2 linked regions of the Drosophila melanogaster genome follow. The gene in region 1 interacts genetically with each later gene. Each region holds a gene or a part of one and is shown in the gene's direction. Other genes may lie near its edges.

The links. Genes that interact genetically often act in the same process or in processes that back each other up.
Region 2: of Ptp61F (region 1) and Stat92E, changing one suppresses a phenotype caused by changing the other (phenotypic suppression), as found in Drosophila melanogaster (one study listed by BioGRID).

Annotation. Positions count from the first base shown.
Region 1 is NT_037436.4:1,343,220-1,353,729, reverse strand, and holds Ptp61F (protein tyrosine phosphatase 61F), read left to right. Parts: upstream 1-3,130; 5' UTR 3,131-3,253; coding exon 3,254-3,358; intron 3,359-4,187; exon of another isoform or gene 4,188-4,531; intron 4,532-7,279; coding exon 7,280-7,453; intron 7,454-7,524; coding exon 7,525-7,787; intron 7,788-7,865; coding exon 7,866-8,232; intron 8,233-8,568; coding exon 8,569-9,104; intron 9,105-9,200; coding exon 9,201-9,402; 3' UTR 9,403-9,747; downstream 9,748-10,510. Other genes in the region: CG9166 (uncharacterized protein), read right to left, coding at 1,699-1,877, 1,941-2,201, 2,259-2,544. UniProt on the Drosophila melanogaster protein: Non-receptor protein tyrosine phosphatase. Required for maintaining dock/dreadlocks in its non-phosphorylated state. Negative regulator of InR/insulin-like receptor signaling through dephosphorylation of tyrosines when recruited by dock/dreadlocks.
Region 2 is NT_033777.3:20,546,762-20,552,756, reverse strand, and holds the start of Stat92E (Signal-transducer and activator of transcription protein at 92E), read left to right. Parts: upstream 1-1,649; 5' UTR 1,650-2,036; intron 2,037-5,995. UniProt on the Drosophila melanogaster protein: Might play a role in signal transduction and activation of transcription.

The DNA of each region.
Region 1 (10,510 bases):
AGTTACTAGATGGCCAGCATTAGTTAGTAACTAACATTGTATCATTAATACGTGCCAATCAAGCATTTAATCCACACTTACTAGCTTTGATTGGTGATCAGATTTACATTTTATGCAGCCAAACTGATGACGGCAGATCTCAACAACTGCTGACCCCTTGTCAGGCCATTAAAGCATATTTAATCGATTCCATATATGCCCCCTTCCATGCCCCGCATCTGCCAGGTGATGAGATGTAACATCAGCACTTCTTCTCGCTCACCTCTGACCCATCGGGCCAGGGAATTTGTTTTTCAACCCATCGATACGGCGATTATGGGCTGATTATGGACGCGCCAAATCCCCCAGCGGAAAGTTCCTCCCATATCACATCACATGGCCAAGTGGAAAAGTGAAACGAGCGGCCGTAGCCCAATCCTCCTCACTCCACTCGCTGCTCCATCATTGCTGATTGACGTCGACAAATTGTATTAAAGCCGTTAATTGGCATTTCAAGATTTTCAGCAATTTCATAAAATTTAACGCCTATCATGTGTCGGCCAATTGGCGTCCGTCTGGCTCTTTGGCTCATTGGATTATCGCACCGTTCGCCGGACTGGCCATTGTTTGTTTTCATAAACACCATCGATAACTTATTTTCGAAAACGTATTTTAAAAATATTAAGTTCGAATTCTCCTCGTGACGCAACTGGCGCTGATGGCCTGCGAAGAAATGATTTCCAAATGCCAGGAGGATCTCCTTCTTGGACCCTAGTTCCCTGATTTTCCAATTTCATTCAGCATTCCGCTGGCCGGTGCAAATCCACAAATCAATGTGCTGAAAACAGCCTTGTTCACACCTCGCCCGATGACTATAAAAACACAATGAACATCGTTGAGTGGGCGTATTTATATTTTGAGCAAACAGTCGTTAAAAAACGCCGCAGGATATATTCGAGCCATTGAGATTTGAGTTTAATGGCTTTCTCTGAATGAATGGGAAATTCGATTGTGAAGTATAAAATCATTGGAATGCTTTCTGGTTCATAATATATTATTTTGCGTTTTTATTACAATTTGTTATCTATCAAACTGTACGGCTTCTTAAAGTTATTAAAACCCTAAATTACAGGATTAACTGTCTATTGTTGCATCTTCCAGTTGAATGGAGAAAATGTTCCGACGCGTTGCTACAACCAGATATACCGACAATATTCGATAAAGACAAATTAAAATACATCACATATCAAATATATAACAATTTGATTGTGACATTTCATAGATATAAGGGAATCTGCCTTTATTCTCTGAAAAGAAGAGTTATTTTCATTTTTTGCAGTATACTTTAGTGCGCACTTGTTATTATCAGATTTTCAGAAATAGGTGGCGCTAGCGTCGCTTGGCCATCTACAAAAGAATTTAGCTCCTGTTTGGAAATACTGCTGTCATATTCTGACGGATTATGGCTATTATTGCCCTATTAGAGCTCGATGTTAATAAAAATTACAGTTATTTTAAAGATGGCTGCCTGAGCGAATGCACCCAGTAAGAAACTAGAGATGGGCGATCGCATAGTTATTTTGGCCGTGACACGAGAATAACAAGTCTGACACGAAATATTTATTCATACCTTATTGTTTTTCCAAATCACACTGCAAGTGATCTCGCACGTACGCAGCTCTAAAGAGTTTTTTTTTATTAATAGTGAAATGTATTATTTTACGTCTTTAGTTTCGATTTGTCTACGAAAGAAAGGGGTGTTTGAGCCATGAAAATATCGCCATAGGGATTGGTGGGTTTTTGGCTTTCGCGGTCGAATTCGGAGCCAATGGCCCACAGCGACTCCAGATCGTATTCCTCGCGAGCACTCGGTGAAAATATGTGCAGGGCAATGTTGCCTAAAAGGAAACGGAACGTGTTAGAGCGGAGAAACCGGAATATGCATTTATTTCAATACCCACCCAAGTCCATGGCCATCCAATCCCGGCTCTTATCGCCCTCGATGCGCGGCAATATGTCACCCTTGCCCCGCTTGATCTTGAACATTCGGCGCACGAACTCCGCGGTGGACAGCATGTGTCGGTAACTGCGACCACTGCAAACCACCAGGTGGTCAACGTACTTCAGGTTCTCCGGCACGTAGCAGACGAATATGTCGTCCACATTCTCCTTGCGGAGCAGCTCCACCAAGTCCTCAACGTCGAACACTCCGCGAACACCTCCTGCAAAGGGAAACAAAGGCTTAAATTTCTGCTCTCCCTGGACGATTGCCAACCTACGCTTTAAATTGAGGCCGTAATAGTGATCCAGCTCCAGGTCCGGCTCTGGAAGTTGCTGCTCCTGGTGGCGTGCCTCTTCCACATCAAAAATCTCCGTGGCTTCCTCATCGCGGAATATTTTGTACTTGTCTTGCACGCCGGCAACCAAAGTCTTTTCGGGATTGCCTTCGATTTCCTGGCCCTTCGCTGCCTGTTGTGGCGGCTTGGAGAACTCGTGGTGGAAGCAACGCAGGACAGGCACACTCAGGCGCCTGTCGTGCACTAGGCGGAACACGCGGGTCAGCATTTTGCTTTGGCTTCTTTCTGTTGTTATTAATAAATTGGGTAACAGTTGTTGATTCGATACTTTTGGTATTACTCGATAACACTGGTCAACGATGAGCGATTGTAATATCGGTATTTTAAAGTATTTGAACCCAATTTTCTTATCAGAATTTTTCTATTTTACTTTTAAAATATTTTATTTTATTTTTTTTATTTTATTTTTATTTAAAATATTTTATTTCAATTGTTTTTATATTGTTATGTCTTTAGTTAAGTATTTAATTTTATATAAATTATAGAAAACTTATCCCGAATGTTATATTATGTTTCAGTAAAGTTCTAATTTCTGCGCAAGCACTTTAGTTTCAGTATGTGTTCTATTGCTCTACAGCGCCTGGTCACATTATTTGATGGTGAAAATATCGATAGACGTAACTAATATTTCAGAATAATAATGTCGCAGATACAATATATTGTGTTTGGCTTGCATTTGTAAATAGGAATCACCATAAGAGAATATAATATGTAATGCGATCAATATAGTGATGTACAATCGAACTATCACTCGGTATCGCACTGCAAATACCGATAGTATTTCGCAAGCTCAAATATTCGATACATCGACACTGTCGTGAGTTGTCCAGCTCTAGTTCTCCTCTGAAATTAACCAGCCGCCTGATAACCAAATTAAAAGTTATTAAATCGGAACAAATCGCAGCAAAGTGTGCACAATGAGCGAGCAGAAAACGAGTGGGAGTGGGTCGGCGGCCGCTGCCCGTCTGCAAATCGAGGCGGAGTACAAGGACAAGGGGCCGCAATGGCATCGCTTCTACAAGGTAATTGGCAACAACAACTGCGACTGCACTGAAAACTGGTTACAAACTGGACGAATGATTGTGGCACAGTTCGATTCGCCAAGGATTCGCAACGGATGCGGAGTATACACCTTTCCACAGCTCCTTGGCGCTCCGATTTCCACGAAAATGTGATGAGTGCGCAAAAGGCTTCTGCAGATGCCTCCACCACCAACACCAGTGCAGCGGCGAGCTTTACGTGTGTGCGTGTGTATTGTGTGTCAGTGCTGTTGTTGTTGCAGTTGTTGCTTTAACAGCCAGGCTTTGGCCAAAAACAAAAACCCATGGAAAAGAATGTACAAACAGAATAGCACCAACACACATACACGCACACCTGCTGCACTTTACTTTGCATTCTCCATCGAACGCGTGTGTGTGTGAGTTCGTGCGTGTGTATTGGCCTGTATTTGGCATATTTATGCTTGTTATTCTGCCATACCTTTCCCCAAAAACGCTTTCCTTTGACTATCAATAGAGCGCTTGAGCTATTCCGCGAATTCTCGTTTGGCCAAATCAAATTGGAGGCGATTTCTGGGAAGCTCGTTGTGTTTGTGATTGCCGTCCCCCAAAAACAAAATACAATTCGTGGAGGGGTGACAGTGCTCTCCACTGAAGAACTCCTCTAACGCGCGCACACACACACACACCCGCTCGCGTTGAGCAGGAGAGAGAGGCTCACGCACACAGGGGCACAAAGGGCATGCGTCTGGTTTTTTGAGTCTCGCTTTGGGCTGCTTCTGGTTGCCTGTCGGAATTGGAGTCGGAATCCTCTCCTTGCCCCTTCTTCTCTCCTCCTCCACCTCCACTCGTTCTTTATAGCCAGTTCCGGCGAACTGTCTTCAGCTGCTACTCCTCCTCCTCTGTTCCTCTGTGCCTCTTTCAGCGCTTCCACTCACTTGAATTGGGATTTCACGGAATTCCACTCCGCAGTTAGGATGACACAGTATATGGTCGTGTGTAGAAATATCTCGTTTCTGGACCCGCTCCTCGGCATCCTCGTTCGTCATCCTTTGTGCTCGCGTCGAGGATAATCTAATTTTCCAGCTAACTGGAAGGCAGCCCGCAATTGTGCGTCGAAACTGACTGGAAAATAGCTACCAGCCATTTCCACTGAAATACAGTGCAACTTGACTAAGACGATCTTGTTAGGCCAAAGTGAGATTTCAATAAACTTTCTTTAATCATATTTTCTCATTAAATCATAAATAGTTTTCAGCTTGATAATATTACTTTCGTGAAATTCATCTAAATTCGCTGAATTTTATATGTTCCATAGCATGTAAACGTTGACTCATTTTTGTTGCAATGAAAAACAACTATGATCAATGTGAAAACATCACATTTTTCGATGATTACTTTATGAATAAGACCGACCTACCCCAATTTTTACTTTAATAACATTTAGCTGTGCATGCTACTACATTTCTGAAGAAAATTATAATCCATTATAGGCACTTATCTGTCTTTATTATAGAAATTCCAAAACACATTCTTCTAAGAATTAATAAATCGCAAATATGTGTGAACATAAACGGTACAACTAATTTTGTGGTTATCATTAAAACTTCCAATTTATTTGACATTTGCCATATGATAGCCCATCATAGGGGATTTGGACTGTAGCCAAAAACGCAGTGACGCATTCGGACCGTATTGTTTTGCTATGCTTTGCTTTATGTTTAATCATTTCCATTGAACGAAGTGCGTTACACTGGGTCTTCTCAACTCGCCGCCCCTCCCCGCCTATCAGCTCATACCTAGCGCCTTCTCGATCCATCCGTTCCATCAACATCCCACCCAACCCACTCCGTCCCATTATGACAACCTCCGTGGACTGTGACGAAGCTCCTCCACAGCTATACCCTGCCAGAGGGTGTTATAGTCCTTACCAGTCGTTGGTATCAACAGGTGACCGTCTTCTTTTTCGTTTCTCTGGAAACAGTCAAGCCAGATTTTATGAAATATGAAACTTGTTAACTCGCATAGTGTGTGTGAAAGGGTATGTCAAATTCGTATTGGCCAAGAAGTCTTTATCCATCGTTGCAATTGTGCTCTGCGTGCATGCAATGTTTTTGTTACTGTTTCTCGATTTCCTTCGAGCGTTGCAAGGTAAAGCAGAAACATAATAACCATAAAACGGTTTGCACGACACGCTTTGGAAACCAAAGCCCCCGAGATTTCCGCGCCTTCGCTTGGATTTCGCCACTCCGTTTAGAAGGGTCACCTGGATAGCCACCGAGCATAAAAAACAGTATGTAGCTGGTAAACGGCCCAAGACTTAATGTTCAACGGAGCCGAAGAACTGTTTTCTCCATCAGAATGAATCCAATCCAAGCTATGGATTTACATAAGTTCCGGATGGATTGTTGATTTTATATATCATATCTAGTTTGATATAGTACAAGGAATACAACTTTATACATCATAAGTACACTGAAAGTCTTTATCATTGGCAAACATTTAAATAAAGCAGCTCAATTATCTGCGCGTATTCTCACGTGACTCGTCGATTATCAGACCTTAAATAGGTGATTGTAGAAATGCTATTGAGTTGAGGAGTTTCGAGAAATATTAAGTGCAACCATGGATTTCTTTCCGTTTCTAATTACGAATTATCAAATGTAGCGATAGCCATTGAGATTTTGCTCTTTGAAAAGCTTCCTTATCGGTCATTAGCCCGTCTCAGATTTGGAGATTACGTAAAAATATGACTCTTTAAAGTTATTTCATAACAGGTCAGCTGCAGAATTTGCAGCTGATTCATTGTTGAAACATGACGAACTGACAATTAACAACTGATTTTCGAGCTGCAATCAACGCGAGCTGATGGGTAACCATATTAAATGGTTACTCATCACCGCATGCATGTGATTAGCTTTGAGCCGAGTTTAAGGAGCACTTGTCGTCGCCAGGTGGTTGCCATTGACCTTGTTAACGGTTCGGTAGTCGGATTCGATGGTTCAATTGGCGGGGCCACTTTCAGCTGCGCCAGCAATTCCCCGTTCACACTGCTGATAATGCCGCACCGGTCATGCCCAAGATAATGCCATTACCGACAGCTTGCTTTGCCATCGCCATCACCAACATCGCATGGCTAATTAGTCACGCCCGCTATGTAGACTGGGTGGGCTTTTCATATGCCGCATGGTTCCCTCCCAGTCCGATGCCCCTTACATGTATCTACTATCGCTTCAATCGCAGGGTTTGCCAATCCGGAGGAGCCCCTTGTCGCTGGGCCAAGTGATGAATCACTGCAAAGGGGGCAACCCCCATGGAAAAAAACAAATTCGATTTCTGTAACATTCTAGCATTCTTCTAACAGGATCTTATCAATTCGTTTCTTGACAATTTGTTTGCGAGTCAGTCAAACAAATGTATCACTTTAAAACTAGTTATTATCAGACCATTATGAGTCTGAACGTTTTCATTTTCTCGGAACACAAATCGTAAAAAGCTTAATTGCGCCTTACAGTTTCTCAGTTTGTATGGTTCTAAAAGGAAGCTCTGATATTCGTTTTAACAATGCCATTCAATACTATTGTGCACTGCTATTTGCTGTTTGCTCTTGTATCGAAGAATTCGTTGGGTCATTTCATGCATAAATGTTTAATTAGTTTGAACTTTTGGTCTTATTACTGTCTTAGATAATTGAGTAACACGAAAACTATATTTTTTACGAATTTTGTACCAGAAAGAAGAGATCTTCCAGTAAGACACTATAGTAGTTGTCTTCTGGGGTCTGGAACGCTTAGGTAAATAGCGCAAATCTCACAAAATCCCCTGAATTACCGCCTGCAAATTGACTGATAAGTTGTCAGTAAAGCGACCGAATTTTAATACCACCTCAACCTTTGTTGTTATGGGTAGTTTCGATTGTACTAATCGCTCTTTTCGGAATTCCAGGAAATTTGTGAGACCTGCGACCGGGAGGCGAAGGAGAAGCAGTTCAGCACCTCGGAATCGGAACGCCACACGAACCGCGGCCTGAATCGCTATCGGGATGTGAATCCGTACGATCATTCCCGCATTGTTTTGAAGCGCGGCAGCGTAGACTACATCAATGCGAACCTGGTTCAGGTGGGTCACGTTTTTAATGCATACACACACCCCTAATTAAACGCCTAATGCGATCAATCAATCCTTTCTAGCTGGAGCGCGCCGAGCGCCAGTACATCCTGACCCAAGGACCGCTGGTGGACACAGTGGGCCACTTCTGGCTGATGGTATGGGAGCAGAAGTCCAGAGCAGTTCTCATGCTCAACAAGCTGATGGAGAAGAAACAGATCAAGTGCCACCTCTACTGGCCCAACGAGATGGGAGCCGACAAGGCCCTGAAACTGCCCCACGTCAAACTCACCGTGGAGCTCGTCCGTCTCGAGACCTACCAGAACTTTGTGCGGCGATGGTTCAAGTGAGTAGAACTCTTTATTCTTCTTCTGCTTCAAACCATTTGTACATGTGGACTAATTGCCTTTGACTATTTCTCTAGATTAACCGATCTCGAAACGCAGCAGAGTCGTGAAGTGATGCAGTTCCACTACACCACATGGCCGGACTTTGGCATTCCCAGCTCGCCGAACGCATTCCTTAAGTTCTTGCAGCAGGTTCGCGACTCCGGCTGCCTCAGCCGCGACGTGGGTCCAGCCGTAGTGCACTGCAGTGCCGGAATCGGGCGGTCGGGCACCTTCTGCCTGGTGGACTGTTGCCTGGTACTTATCGACAAGTACGGAGAGTGCAATGTGTCCAAGGTGCTCTGCGAGCTGCGCAGCTACCGCATGGGCCTCATACAGACCGCCGACCAGCTGGACTTCTCCTACCAGGCGATCATCGAGGGCATTAAAAAGCTGCACGATCCCGTATGTATGCGCGACCAGCGGTCGGCGTTTGGGAGTCAAACTTGGGGGCTGCCAAGCACCGCCGTATATATTGCACATCGCTATTTATTCTGGGGGGTCACAGAAATCTCTGGGCTTGGTTATGGTTACTAGAATTCATATTGTTTAATGGAATTATGATTACTTTTGAAAACTGTATTATGTTTAGTTTTGTTTTTTATTATGTGATCTAGTATCAGCTTAATGATTATTGTTTAATTGATGCGAAAAAGAAACCATTGTTTTTGGTTTGCAGAGATTTCTGTGAAGGCCCTGATTATTTTCCGCGACTAATTAGAACATTTGATTTCTCTTCAGACCTTTCTTGACGCTGAAGAACCCCTCATTAGCAACGACACAGAGACTCACACACTGGATGAGCTGCCGCCGCCATTGCCCCCACGCGTCCAATCGCTTAATCTGCCACTGGCCCCCAATTCCGGCGGTATACTTTCGCTCAATATGCGCGCGGCCCAGGCTAATGGAGCTGAAAGTATCGGCAAAGAGCTGAGCAAGGACGCCCTGAACAACTTCATTAATCAGCACGACATGATCCACGATGCCGAGGTGGCCGACAGTCGTCCCTTGCCGCCATTACCCGTAAGGGCTTTCAACGATTCGGACAGCGATGAGGATTACTTGCTGGATGACGATGACGAGGACGACACCGATGAGGATGAGGAGTACGAGACCATTAACGAGCACGATGCCGATCCAGTTAATGGACACGTGCCCGCGACAACACAGCCACATGCCGACGATGTTAATGCCAACAACGAGAAGCCAGCGGTGCCAGTCGACGAGCAGCACAAGGCGAACGGCATCGATCCAATTCCAGGCCAGCTCCCAGCCAGGTAAGAATCTAGTCTTAGATCTGCTCAGTATCTATTTTTCAACCGCCTAGTCAAACAAAAATCCCTCTAATCCCCTTCCAAATTCGTACTTTTCAGTCCCGAGAACGAGCTGAAGCGGCGAAAACGCAACGAATACCAGGCCAGCCTGGAGCAGAAGGTCAACGACATGAAGCGGAAGCAGCGGGAGAACGAGGACAAACAGCTGGCGGCAAAGAAACGAAGGTCATTACTCACATATATTGCCGCTGGTGTTGTGGTGGGCGTGATCTGCGCCTACGCATACACGAAGCTAGGTTAAGTGCCCCGTAGCCACTAAGTAGTCGTAGATCAGTAGTAGCAATAGCTGTATGACGTATTTAGTTGCCGTAGGAGACCGATTCCTCCCCTGATACCCGATTTCCGACTTCCGATCCCCACCTGCTCGTCCGCCTGACCCGGCATCTAATGCGGGCAACGAATCAAGGACGACGTGCAACGGATCGGAAAGGATCAGAGATCGGACGGAATCGCATCGCAACGCCATGCAATCGCACACGAATTGCGGATGGCGGATTGATTGAGCTGAACGAACGATACAAGATGCATAAATATTAGGGAATTTTTTATATACGAAATACAAGAAGGAAAACAAAAGAAACAAATGAAAGAAAAGAAGCAACTAAACTAAACTAACGAAAATCGGGTAGAAATCACGTCAAATGTAGATTTTGCGCAATAGACTGACATTTTAGATCAAATTTATTTTCTACACTCTAAAAATGGATTGATAACCGACCAGATGCCCCAAACGAGCCATACCAAATGCAAAGCTCACCCTACTTGCTCGCTATGCTTAAAATATTAAGAATATCATAACTACCAATGTTTCAAGCACCCGACAACCACCCACTACACGCTTCACTTGTTGTTGTACAGCAATTTCTTATAGCATACGACCTATGTATATTTATTTATGAAGATTATGAGAAACCACCACTTGTTGTAGTACATGGCAAAATATAAAGTGCAGCAATGTGCCAAAAAGAACCGAATCGGAGAATTGTACGAAGTGTCCTAAACGACTCTTAATTTTACTTTGCCTCCCGCCTACCACTACCACTAACTTTGAATTGTTGTGTTTAAAATTAAAGACCCTGTCCCCCCTTAAACGAGCACTTTATTAATGAATCGAAATTCAGCGCCATTAAAGCAATAACTTACGGTTAAACAAAACAGCTCGATGTACACCTATATCTCGTTTAACGCTTTTAAGGAGTGTTATAATCAAAATTGTTCATTTCGCACACTCGCCCCCGATCGATCTGAAATCAAAATAAAGTGATTCTTTTTTCAAATTGTGACCGTGGACTAGTTGCACGTGGCTAGTTGCAAATCAAATTAAACTAAAATCGGTTTACTAAGTCGCT
Region 2 (5,995 bases), on another chromosome or scaffold:
TGTGAGGGAGAGAAGCGATGAAGTGAAGACACCCGAAAGCGCTTAACTTTGTTATTAACCGTAATTGATTTATTATCGCCGTAAGCCGAAAGTATATCAGCCAATAAACTGTCTGAATAATGACTCGCCTGGCACATACTGCTCCCCAGGACCTCGTATTCAATGGTGTTGCTTTGACAATAACACTCCTAGATTAATGATTACGATTTACCCGAACATTTTGTATATTGTGTATTGCCAACTCAATGTCAAGGCGCTGCGACTGTTAAAATAGTCATGAATTTGAGGGTGTTCACACCAGCATATACTATGTAATTCTTGTATGTTAGTGTGTTTTTATTATTAAAATTTACAAAATTGTTTAACTGATCGATTATCTCAATCGTTTTTAAAACGCGCGCCATCGGTTGTGACAGGTGGCACCTCCGGCGATTACGCGATAACATCTTTTGCGGGGGTGCTGTATATCGAAATATGCTGGTAGTCGCGTTCGCAAAAATTCGAGTGCTCGCAAAACGAAAACAACGTAAATTTAGTGCGTTTTAAAAGTGATAATTAAGACTATTTGCCCTGGAATTAGGTGGCCCAACAGCCGTGAGCTGCAGGCGGTGTTGTTTTAAGGATAAAAAGCGTTTTTCCCCCAACACCTGCCATAACCAAAAAGGCAATCTGAAAGGTGAGTGATTTGCTGTGCTGCGCCGATTGTGGAATGGATTAATTATTTAAGGCCTATTGATTAGACGGGGCACAGCCTTAAAAAAACCCCTCTCCGAGCACCAACCCTCTTCATTTAAAGAGGGTCGGGGGTGGCATTCTCATGCTCGCTTGTTGCTGCGCACAACAGGTGAAAATTCAGAAGTCGCGTATGTTTATATGCAGAATACACAAGAGTTGGCAAAAGACCATTAATTGTGCTTCTCTGCGTCTGGGGTAACCTTGACTTTCGGTGGACAAATCAATCAAATGCAATTAATTACACCGCCAGCGGTGCATATGTGTGGGTGGCAGCTCGTGTGTGTACAGACAACATGCGCACTCATATCTGCGGCGCCACAATGATGCGAAAATGGGTGTAAACCCCCTTTGATAAATGTTTGTTTATCGCAATTAGCTTCGCAAATTGTTTATTCTTTAGCAGCCGACAGTGCTGTTAACTTAACAGGGGTGCGAGGGTTGCACTTCGGGTTATCAGAGTTTTCCACCATCAAATTCATTTTACTTCTAAATAATAACTTCAATCAACTTATTTTTCTTTAATTAACTCACAAAGTTTAGTGGAATATTAGCACGATAGAGATATATATTTCGTAACTTGTTTAGTCTTAATGTTTCTTTTAGAACATCTTTACGAAAAATCCTAAATGCTATTTGTTTAATTATGTGCATTCCAAGTCAAAAATTTATAAGTAATAACAATTCAAAAATTTTGTTTTACCATAGTTATCGAGCTTTGGTCCCTGGTTGTTAACAATATTTTACTGCGCTGCTCTATAAAATTAAATCAACTTATTTTCTAATTAGAATTTCCTATCTTCCCGGTTTGGCAGAGATTTATCAGAATCGATACCCACTGTTAACAGCGATTGTTCACATGTGTTCATCGTCCGATAGTATCGCATGTGGATCGCTTTCGCTCCAACTCTAGAGACGCGGCAGTCGTTTTTTAGCCACTATAGGGAATTGTTCGAATGCGGAGCAATTTTCAAATGCGCAACCAGTTGAATTCTTTTGCAAGTGCACTTTGTTTTCAAGGATTCGTTTAACTGATAGGATTTCCTTTGGTCGAGACTCTAGTTTTTTTTTCTAAATTCTCAGTGCGTGTGCGGGTGTGCATGTGCGTTCCGTCTCCCTCGCACTGCGTCGTGTGTGTAATGTTTGTGTGTGCGTGAAGCCAGCGCGATTTAAAAATAAAACGGCAAATACATAATAAAAAATATCGAAGAGCAACAGCGGCAGGCGTACCAATACAAACTAACCGATACCAGCCAGCCGTGTGTGTTTACACAGTGTTGTGCGTTGGTGTTTGTGTACCAAAGGTAAATAGAAATAGGAGAAAAAGAGCAACAAATTTACGAGTGGTGGGGGGTACGTATATAAATGCGTGTGTGGGTGGGAGGACTCCGCTGCAAATGTGCACTGCGCAAATAATGTGGGTGGGCGTGTGGTGGTTCCGCAAGGCCTTCACGAAGGTTCTCTGCCTTTTGGCCACAAATTCGATGCACCATCATCATGTGTTTCCACTTGACGCTTTATTTATACATCAACAAAATACCCACACACATGCACATGTGTTCTTCACGCTCCTGTTTCCCGGTCTTCTTCTTCCCCGTTCATTGTTGTTTCCTGGAAAGCCCATAAAAACAAAGGCAACAAGAATTTCGAGTGCAATAGCACAAATGGCAGCAACAACAACACTGATATCGAGTATATTAGCTGTTCCCCATCTCACCGTCCCACTCGCTCCCTTGCACAGCGAGAAAGCGAGGCTATAAAACTAAAAATTATATATATTTAATGTCCTCTGTTTAAAAAATTAAGCTTTTTTGTATAAATACATAATACAATTTTTTGTATAAGGCATTGGTAAATTAATCCCATGTGTTGGGGCCCGATTCAACACCTGGTATCACAACATTTGGCAACACATATTTAACTGTTACTCTAGCACTATTTTTTCAAGTGTCTGACGTACGGGGCCCTATCATTCTCATATTCACATGCTACTCTTGCTTTCATACGTCGCCGACTTCTGCGCGCTCAACACTTTTATCTTGCTCGCTGTCGTCGGTCGCTTACTGCCCCCTCCTCCGTCGCGGGCTTCCCCTCTCTCCACCATGACTTCTTGGCCTGGCTATAACCCGGCTGGCTTCTACCACTTCGGACAAATTACGATTGTCAGCGACGCCGACGTTAGCTAACCCCTTGGCGTTTCACATTTGATAAACCCGATCGCATTGCTGTGGACACCGTAGATTATCATTGGTCATAGTGGGTCCTCCAATCAATGGCCAGGTGGACGGTCAACTTACATAGGTTAGTTGGCAGAGGGGTTTCTTCGTTTATGTCAACTAATAAAACGCATACATTATATAACTACCATTATTTATTAACAGTGGTTAAAATCATTAATTTTATAGATGAAAGGGAGATACAATATAATATTGTACTTTATTCAGAATTGTATTTACGGTCTGAGAAACTATATTTTACATTTAAAGTTCACCCTGAATTGAAATAAAGTAGTAATGTGGCTTTTATATATTGAAAATATATTGTATATAGATTCGAATGAACAGATATACTCTAAATGCCACGATACTTAAAACTATAGGGTGCTCAAAGTTCGTTTCCCCAATTAGTTCTTCTATATCGTGTTGGAACTCACTCCCGTCAGATTTGAACATATGTATTTATGCAGCAAAGTTTATCGCCACCAATCCAGTCCACCACATGTGTTTAAAGTTATTTCTGGATCTTCGATATAGGCAGTGCTAATTATTGCGCTATTATGCGAATCACTATCCTCAAGCGCAAATCAAGCCGGCTTCTTATCGGCGACTCTCGTTATTTACTTTGTTACATTGACACCTCGTTATCAAAGTCGTTTATTGCGTTGCATTTCATTGTCGTAAATGGAGCACTCTGCTGCGCCTTCAATAGATTGGGGGCCTACTGTACTTACACATATTGTGCCTGCTTATCGCTGGCAAAATGCTTTTCTGGTGGTAGTAGATGGCCCCCGAACTAGCGAATCAAAACTTCAATCTATAGTTTCTGAGGAAGTTACTTTGAGGAACTTACTACAACGTATTTTACAAATATTTTTGTCAATATGCCCAATTATCAAGTTTGAAACCCGAAAATCTGTCTAGCTCGTAATCAAAGCTGTACTTATTATTAAAAAATTAAAGATCATATTTATTTATTACTTGAAAAACCCAAATCATTGGTTATGGAAATATTGACCCTAATGCTAATTAGTTTTTGAAAAACAAATAAGTAATATAGAGCAGTAAAAAATGGATTCAATAGAGGATTAATACATTTCTGCGAATCTTTTGTTGCACTCCGCTGATAAGGAGTCCCATTTATTGGAATTTTGCTAAGACTTTACAGTTAAGCAATAAAAGACAATGTTTGGTAGCTGTATTGTTTGATAACCTGACTGACTTCAGTCGAATAATCACTTTTCGAACCATTGAGCACCAACACAAGACTGATAACTGAGTGATACCCAACCATGATTGTATTTGTATTGCAGATGACAGTTTGGACAAATATTCCTTAATTACTTTATTTTTTGACAAATAGACTTGAGCACATATTTTATGAGCTTAAGATCGGTGGGATTTATGAACAGATAAGTGAGGTCATCGGGGCAAGTGTGACAACAAACATTGATCTGTTCGCGGAACGAGCATTATGTGGTGATAAGAAACCGTGTGCCGACACATTACTTAGCTCAATATAACCCAATCGATCCGGTGTTTCTCGTTAGACGAAACAAAAGCCGACAAACATCGTGCAAAATGTCAGGCGAGCAGCAACGATAAATGATTACTTAAATAATACTTGGTGTGGCAAAGTGGTGGTGGTGGGGGGGCTCACTTTGGGCTCGGTTGGGGGTGGTGCAACGGCGAGGTTTCCATTGTCGATGTACGGCGTACACCCACACAACCACGAGGAAAAGAACACTGAGGCATGCTTATTAAACTTTTATGAGTACAAAAACAAATACCACAAACGACTCTCGTTTCTCACAGGGCAATCGTAAGTGTGTGCGTTGTTTATAAAAAATTGAACAAGAAAAATATAAAATGAACGCGGCTGGCTGGCACAAATGTCGAAGCAGCAGAAAGCAAAAAGCAAAAAGCGAAAAGAACAGCCAGGAACAACAAAGGCAGCACACCCGCGCTTGGGTGTTTGCAATCGTCGGTTTTCGAAGTGGTCAGAAATGCTTGGACGCCATACTAAGGGCCGAGGAAATTGTAGTGACCCCAACCAAAGCTCTACGGGCATAACAATCCCAACTTTGATGTCATGCCCATACAAATTTTCCCCCCACAGAGTGCATGACTAATATTCAAATTGGTGTGTCCAACTCAAAGAACGCGAATTTTTATAAAGTTATATGCCAACACTTTTATGGTTTATTTAAATAAATTGTATTATTGCTAACATATGTATGAACGTCGAGATCGCTAGAACTTTAAAAGCTAAAAGGTTTTGCTATTGGACATACAAATTCTACGCCCACAATATTTTGTATTTTATTATTAACTATTTTTATTGATATTTCAAATGAATTTTGAATTCCCATTTTATTTTATTGTGCAGAACGTATGCTCCATACAAAAAGTTTGATTCCGCGCAACGAGGTATCACTGTCCCAACTTACCTTTTATGATACGTAGTTCCAACCAGTCTTATCAGTGCCGGGCTGCTGCCATAAAACTTTCCACTTGCCGCACTTGGATTCCTTGGAGCTTTTCAATTCGCATGAAAATGGGAATCTTTTCTATCTGCGGCTATATCTTATTTATACGCCCACTTTGCAGATAACACGTTTTCCAGAATTTTCGCTGTGGCAATAGGCCAGATATTGTGTGTGCATACTGCTTACGGGGATTATTCTCCATCTGAATCTGCAGATTGTTTATCCCAAAAAATTTCGCATCGCACATATAGAAAGATAAACAAAGTGGCTCGGTGTGTGGAGTAACGATTGCCTGGTGCTCGAAGACGATGAGTCATCATCCAACCAAATGCTTATCTAAAATGCGCCCATTCGGCATTTTTTCTAGCTCGGCATATTAATCACACGACTAAAAGTGCAACTGGGCTGTTTCCTCTTTCTTCCTCCCCCCTCCCCTGTCTATCATGCCATTTCTCATCGTATTTCTGTGCTGTTTGTGATTCGCTTTTTGTTTGCCCGGACGGCAGCGAAAAGTCAACTTTTGAGTGGGCAGCTGGCCGGCGAGAGCTTGTTGAGAAT